Bombyx mori: one gene and its partner. The protein of the gene in region 1 binds, or shares a complex with, the protein of each later gene. Links are inferred from orthologs where the notes say so. Each region holds a gene or a part of one and is shown in the gene's direction. Other genes may lie near its edges.

Evidence for each region.
Region 2: FACT complex subunit spt16 (region 1) and FACT complex subunit Ssrp1 share a complex: the UniProt entries of both Drosophila melanogaster proteins name them as parts of the FACT complex. The link is inferred for Bombyx mori from reciprocal best matches to the Drosophila melanogaster genes dre4 and Ssrp.

Annotation. Positions count from the first base shown.
Region 1 is NC_085116.1:13,778,424-13,781,928, forward strand, and holds the end of FACT complex subunit spt16, read left to right. Parts: intron 1-449; coding exon 450-597; intron 598-957; coding exon 958-1,081; intron 1,082-1,392; coding exon 1,393-1,681; intron 1,682-2,062; coding exon 2,063-2,236; intron 2,237-2,434; coding exon 2,435-2,441; 3' UTR 2,442-2,731; downstream 2,732-3,505. Other genes in the region: protoheme IX farnesyltransferase, mitochondrial, read right to left, coding at 3,027-3,265. UniProt on the Drosophila melanogaster protein: Component of the FACT complex, a general chromatin factor that acts to reorganize nucleosomes. The FACT complex is involved in multiple processes that require DNA as a template such as mRNA elongation, DNA replication and DNA repair.
Region 2 is NC_085114.1:11,975,703-11,980,062, reverse strand, and holds the start of FACT complex subunit Ssrp1, read left to right. Parts: upstream 1-1,439; 5' UTR 1,440-1,848; coding exon 1,849-1,899; intron 1,900-2,006; coding exon 2,007-2,192; intron 2,193-3,045; coding exon 3,046-3,261; intron 3,262-3,512; coding exon 3,513-3,691; intron 3,692-3,940; coding exon 3,941-4,180; intron 4,181-4,360. UniProt on the Drosophila melanogaster protein: Component of the FACT complex, a general chromatin factor that acts to reorganize nucleosomes. The FACT complex is involved in multiple processes that require DNA as a template such as mRNA elongation, DNA replication and DNA repair.

The DNA of each region.
Region 1 (3,505 bases):
CATAATATGTTACATATAGTTTAGAATGAAATAGATTTGTGATAGAAGAAAAATCTGTGAAGAATAGATAACTAATCCACAATATAGCTTACAGATGATGTGTTTGGTTAAGTAAACAACTATTTCTAATTCATTGTCAAGTTTTAAACAGGTATACACAGATATTATAAATGGGAAAGGTTGTGAGGATGGATATGTATTACTCATTCATGCTAAACCTACTGGAAGGATTTTGATAAACTTCAAAATGCAATCGATAGCTTATCAAATATATTATCATGGTAGTAAATAGCCTATTATATAGTATGATCAACGCAGTGGCCACTTCGATTCAAGAAATTGATGTTACAATTAGCAATATTCACAGGAGAGCATGGTCGTGTTGCAGTCTGTCATGAATATTTTTAAGGAGAATGTATAGAAAAAGAAATGTTTTTTCTATATTTCAGTTCTTGTGATATCCGGTACTCGGAGGGTATACAATCGTTGAACTGGACCAAAGTTATGAAAACTATAACAGATGACATTGAGGGCTTCTTCGAAAATGGTGGCTGGTCATTTTTGGATCCAGAATCTGATGGTGAAAATGAACAAGAGGTTTGTATATCAGAAAAGTAGAAAACGTTATAAACGATTTTCTGTTCATTTATTTAAAATAGTATTTAAAAAATTTAAGAAAATTTAAATTATTTTACGTAACAATATACACACTTTTTGTGAATATCTAAGAAACTTTTTTTTAATCATAGTATATATAACTTCTGATATTGGACAACAAAACATAATTTAACATATAACCCAAAGGACTTTAAAGAAAAGTTATTTGAAGCTTAAAAGTAGATATAGGTAATATAATTTTAGAAATTAATTTTCTATGAGATTATTTCGCGTAGATAATGACAGAATTGTTTCGATCCATTCAAAACAACAAATCTGATAAAACTAATTGTATTTTAGGAGGAAGATAGTGAAGATGAAGATGAAGCGTACGAGCCTACGGACGCTGAGTCTGATGAATCTGAAGGGTCTGACTATGATTCTGAGGCGTCTGATGAATCTGACGCTTCGGGTGATAGTGAAGGTGAGAATAACTAATTGTCAATAAATTAAAAAAAATCGGCTAGATGCCAGTTATTCATACATTACCAATATCTTTGACTAAATTGAGATTACCATGATCTTATTTTCGAAGTCAATAAAAAGGCTGTTTAATTTGTTATATTTATGGTTTCTATTAATAATCTCTGGCAAATCATAAGTGTGCTATTAATAATTATTCGTTTATTTGTTCGAATAGTTTATTCGTTTACATTTACTGGTTTACTGGTTGGTTTACTGGCTTTAGACATTACCACAAGTACGAATGTTACATATTAATTACTTGATTCGCAGAGGAAGACGAAGAATCCGGTAAAGACTGGTCAGATTTAGAGCGGGAAGCTGCCGAAGAGGATAAAAAAGACCGCAACTTCGATCGAGATGACTTCGACCGGAAACGTAAAGGACGAAACCAACAACGCTCGTACGACTCTGATGAGGGAGCCGCCAAGAAAAGCAAACATGACAAGTCTAATCATAAAAGTTCTAGTTCAAACCACAAAAGCTCTAGTTCCAATCATAAAAGTTCGAGCTCAAACCATAAGAGCTCCAGTCATAAAAGCCCTTCAAAGAACAGTAGCAGGTATGTCTGAATTGTTTAAATTAGAAAAAATAATTATGAGAAAGGAAAACTACGTATGAAAGCATCACTGAAAAATATTCAGATCTGTAAATCCCAGAAACTCAGCCTGGGTTGCAATAAGTTGAGAAAATTTTAGTGTACAGTATTGACTGACAGGATAGCCCTAAAATGATAGTAACATAATGTAACTAAGATTAAGTGAAAAGTATAATATTTTTCAATGATTATTATAATAATTATTCGGCCATTAAGCAGGCCGAATGCAGGTAGCATTGGAGGAAGCTGGTGCAAAAACTGGACCAAGGTGGTCACGACCCTCAGCAATGAGGAAACGACAGAGAAGAGAAGAGATTATAATATTTATAATTGCCCTAATTTCAGCCCTTCCAAGAACCGGGATAAGCACCACAAATCATCCCACCATGATCGACACCACAAGAGTGACCATAAGTCCTCTAGTAAAGACAAAGACAAGAAACATTCTAGTGACCATAAATCACACAAACGGTCACGCGATGACAGCAGAGAACACGGCAACAGCGCAAAGAAAGCGAAGTGAGTATTCTAAAAACAGATATATTTTATATAAATTTGGTTGCGTGCATAAATTGAAAGTAATAAACAACAGACTTATTTGATAAAAAGTCAAAAGCTGAAATATTTATCTAATAATTTTCTATAAAACAGAAATGCATGTCCCTACCACGTTATTTAATATGTCATTAATAATTAAAAAAAATATTCTTGTTTCAGAAAATAAAAAAGCAAACGTTTTGATACAAAGGATTCAAACGGGTTTCATTCGCCACAGCGGCTTGTTAATAATAATTACGTATGTGATTGTGTCGTCTCATAATTTGTCCGTCTAATGTTAAAAAACAGGTCTGAGTGTTTTGTATGTATGTTGTTAATAAATTTTCAGTTGAGAATGTGACACGATAATAGTTAAGTAAATTTAAATAAATAAAGAACCTGTGCCCCACTTACACAGCACACGATATTGTTTTTCCCGAAAAAAGCAAAGTGAATAAGAAAAATAAGAATTCATAATCTGTGTGTATTTTATTTATTTTTAAATCATAAATAACACGATTAAAAATAAAATAACAAAAAAGTATTATAACCCCAAAATTAAGATTAGGAAATATTCAGTTAGTAGTTACTAGTAAATATATGTACAGCAGTAACACATACAGGAATTTTGTGTTATTTAAATGAAATTCCGAAACCTTGTTTTGAGGTTACAATTCAAATCTCGTAATAGATAACTTACAATCTTCTACATTGATCACATTTGTACATTATGTACAGCAAATAAAATCTACCTACATATAACGTAAAATAATTAGCACTGTTTGTCGTTTCCTTGGGCCACAACGACCGGTCCTCGAGGTAGTACTGTAATTCTCTTGTCTAATATGCCTACGTCCTGGATTTTGGTGTCGGTCTGCTCTTGAGTGTCACTCGAACTCCAGTACTTCTTATTTACTAGCATTAGCAACATTAATGCTGGTAGGTGAAGTAGAGAAAATCTGAATAGCTTCCGCGAACTTGCGCTGTCTGATTTTTGGTAGAATTGCCATGCTGTAACAGATTTTAGATATTGATTTGGTTAATAAACAATGATAACAAAGATATTATTGACATCATTCCAACACGGTAATACAATGAAGGCATCGCTACCATTTAAAACAGGGGTTTCCAAACTTATTTTGTCTACTGCCCACTTTGAGAATAAATTATTTTTAGCGCCCCAATTTTCTCATCTACCGAAAAACCACTCTAGCGATAGCTCAGTCGGTGTCTGTGAGTCAGAGGACTTAA
Region 2 (4,360 bases), on another chromosome or scaffold:
CGATACGTATCGTAAACGATATCAATTTATGTGTTAGGAATCGCATAATCGCGCTCGCTTCAAAAAGTTTCCCATTACAAAAAATTTCAAAAATACAGCTTGTTGCATTTCAAAGTTGTATTTTGTCGAGCCGTTCTGATAGTATCCAACCAACCAACCATCATATAATATATCTATGTTGGAAAAAAATGTGTATGATACCATAGAAATGTATGTATCTATATTTTAACTGGAATTTTTTAATTACAGTCAAACCTGGGTAAGTGAGAACTGGATAAGTAAGAAAACTCTATAAGTGAGAGTAATAGCAAGGACCCGTCATTTTAAGCTCCCAAAACCTCTATTAGCGAGAAACAGAAACCTCTGTAAGAGAGAGTCGTTTTTCCTCATGGACCTCCGTAAGTGAGACTGCTACCTATCCTATACCTCTATAAGCGACAGCCGAGCTTTATTTATTTATTTATATTATTTAGGCGGAACAAATGACAAAACAAATTACAAATTTAACATCTGCTATTTTATGACTCATTTTTAACTTTCGTGGAACTTCCTATCATTGTTTTTGTATTGTTTCCTCGTGAATATTGAACCTATTCTATTTCGTGGAACTAAATAACGTTGTTATTTTATCGTATTCTTTTATCGCATTATTTTCGAATGGACACGTGTGCCTGTGTTGTCGGACTTACTCAGTTTATCGTTAATCAATTGCGAAGGAAAGTTCTGTTCTGCATCATGTAAAAACAGAAAATTAAAGTACTGTCATTAAAGTCATAAACTTAAAATAGTGAATGCATTTGAATGCGGAAAATCGCGAATCGAAATTCAGAGGGAGCATTAGCGAGAAACTCGGGTTAGTGAGAAACCTCTATAAGCGAGAATGAGATTGTGCTCCCTTGAACTCTCGCTTATCCAGGTTTGACTGTATATGAAAAATGTAAAATTGAATGAAAACTCTACGATAGTAGAATACGTAGAATTACTTAATGGCATATTTAAGATATTCATAAGATCATAGAATAACACTTAAATAACGGTAGTAGCCTGCAATCTCTACTTATTACAGTTGCGAGAGTCGTTAAAAGTTACTTAATAGTCAACAAATACTGAATCCTTTAACTCAATGTGTGATTATTATTTTAATAACATAAAGCCTTTTATTTCCTTATACATAGATTAAACTATTATTTAAGTTAACATCATAGATTTTTTAAGGGATTTTATGACCTGGTAACTAAGACCTTTAAGTCATGTCTTATTTTAATTTATTTTCTTATTTTTATGAAAAATGATGAAATGAAATGAAGATGATTAATTTGAGACATTAATCAACTGGGATGAAATCAAATGAAACGAGATGAGAATATCGGATGAAATATAATCTCAGTAAAATGGTGGTCATCTATGTACTGAGACTTTTTCATTGCACTTTTTGGAGGATCCCGAGAAGTGACGTCCAGCGGCTTTGTTTCATTTTCCCACATTTGTGCACTTTCACAGATATTAAACAGTTAATAAACCTCCGTTATTACACATTTAAACCTGAAGAAGCACTAAATAGACAAAATAAAACAAATCACACAACTTCACTCCTCGCGCTCCCGCCAAAAAGTCTCCTAACATCATAGATACACACATGTTATCATAGATTACACTTTAATGAATAACGTAACTTATAGTGGGTGAATTGAAAATTAAACTTGAAAACTAGTAAATGAAAAGTTTTTCGTTACACACTATAAAACACAGTGACTAATTAATCATTGAAACTATTATTCAATCTTAAGGAAATATACGCTAATTTTACATTGTTACATCGCGTTGTAAAGTATTGTCAAATAACGAAACATGGAGTTTTTAGAGTATAACGATGTTTCCGCAGAAATAAAAGGAAACATGGTATGTCGATGAAGAATGAATGTCTTTTTATTTATAACTTAACGCTTTATGAAAAGCATTTTAAGAAACATTATGGAGAATCATATTAAGAGTGCTTGGCGTTTCAGGTACCAGGGAGGTTAAAAATGACAGACCAAAACATAATTTTCAAGAATAGTAAAACCGGCAAAGTTGAACAAATATCAGCTAATGACATTGAGCTGGTGAATTTCCAGAAGTTCATTGGTTCGTGGGGCTTACGTTTGTTTCTCAAAAATGGTACTTTGCACAGATACGGAGGTTTTAAAGAAGGTGTAAGTAAATACAACATAAGTTTTCCATAATTGACAAAATTTACACGTCCCTGCGATAGATAACTCATTTATTATGCAAAATAACAGATGCGACAATAGGTTCTGGTTTTTGTTCTAAACCATAACATTTCATACTTGAAATCATAAGAATATGGGTTATAATTTGCCAGTCATTTTAAAATAATCAACAAAAACGATCCCGCCTAAGTACCATTTCAAACTTATTGTTGGAATAGAAGGGAACAACAGAAGGGCTGTTGTTTTTAAAATCAAACATAATTGGAACTGTGTTTTAAAAATTGAAATTTGTTTAGAAACAAGAAAATATTTTTTCAAAATTATTAGGTCACATATTCTATACACTCTGATACAAATAGAAGAAATTACAAAAAAGTATGTGTAATAAATTTATTCTATTCAGTTTTTATTAAGCTTGTCAAATATATTTCATAACGAAATAAGAATTACTCTGTTGCAGTGTTCTGTGGAAGAGTTCTGAATTTAAAATGTTTTCTTAAAAATAACCTCTTAAGTAGTTATTAATGTAGAATTATAATTTAAATTAAGTTATCTACTTATAAACAACAGGTTTGTCCTGGGGGTTAGTTAAAAAATGACAATAAAACTAGCTTAATAAATTCTAGCTAAATGTTTTTTTTTTTATTGCCCTTGTAGGCAGACGAACATATGGCCCACCTGATGGTGAGTGGTTACTGTCGCCCATGGACTTCAGCAATGCCAGGGGCAGAGCCAAGCCACTGCCTACTGCTACAATGAAAATGAATTAAACAAATGAAGTGATTTTATGATTCTATGATTGGAATCATCTAATTAAATAATTGAAATACTACAGGAGCAAGAGAAGGTTGCAAAATTCTTCAAAGCCAATTATAATAAAGACATGCTAGAGAAAGAGTTATCTCTAAAAGGTTGGAACTGGGGTACAGCTAAATTTAATGGAGCAGTACTAAGTTTCAATGTTGGTACAAACACCGCTTTTGAAATACCATTGCATTATGTCTCTCAATGCAATACAGGAAAGAATGAAGTCACACTCGAATTTCATCAGGTTAGTTCTGCTATCATGAAAATATCTAAAAAAATATCGAAAAAACTTAAAGTTGTACTTAACAAGGGTAAGATATCTAATATAATCATATCAAACATGCAACTATTGATTGACTCAAATAAAACATCTGCAAAAGTAAAAATGTCTGTTATTTGTTGTGTCTGTGTCTAAGAGGCATATTTGTAGAGAACAATTTCCAGCAAATGGATAGTGATGATAAGATACTTTATATTTTGATTTGAAAATTACAGAATGATGACACACCTGTATCATTGATGGAAATGCGCTTCCACATTCCCACCAGTGAAGTGGCCAATGATTTGGATGCAGTTGAAGCATTCCACCAACAAGTAATGAACAAAGCGAGTGTTATTTCAGTTTCTGGTGATGCTATTGCTATATTCAGAGAACTACAATGTTTGACACCTCGGTATGGTTTCCAAATATTTTTGTAATTTTCACTAATTTGAAATATAAGATTAATATTTGTATATGTCTACAACAACAAACCAGTTCAGTCTTGGTATGGCTATTTTGTACCTTTTATGTTTCGGAATTGAGTAGAAAAGTAAAAATAAAAATGCAGTATTATTAAATTCAGTGAATTGCAATTGAATGTAAAATAATAATGTTCTGAAAAACGATCAAATTAATTTATTTGTTTTAAATTTTTTTTTAGTGGTCGTTATGATATCAAGGTATTCCAGACATTCTTTCAGCTTCACGGTAAAACCTTTGACTACAAGATCCCTATGTCGACAGTTCTCCGTTTATTCTTATTGCCTCACAAGGATACGAGGCAAATGTTCTTTGTCGTTTCCTTGGATCCACCGATCAAACAGGGTCAAACAAGGTACCATTATTTAGTGCTGTTGTTTGGTATTGAGGAGGAGACAACTGTAGAACTTCCTTTTACAGAGTGAGTAACATTTTTGGCAAATTGTCTATTATTGCATAATCTAAAGTGAAGTAAAATAAAAACATATTATTATGTTTATATTTAAATAGGGTAACTCCGACACCATCACCTTTTAAGTAATGAAATGTAGCTGTTAAGATTGCTATGTATTATTCTTGCATTGTTAGTAATCAAATATGT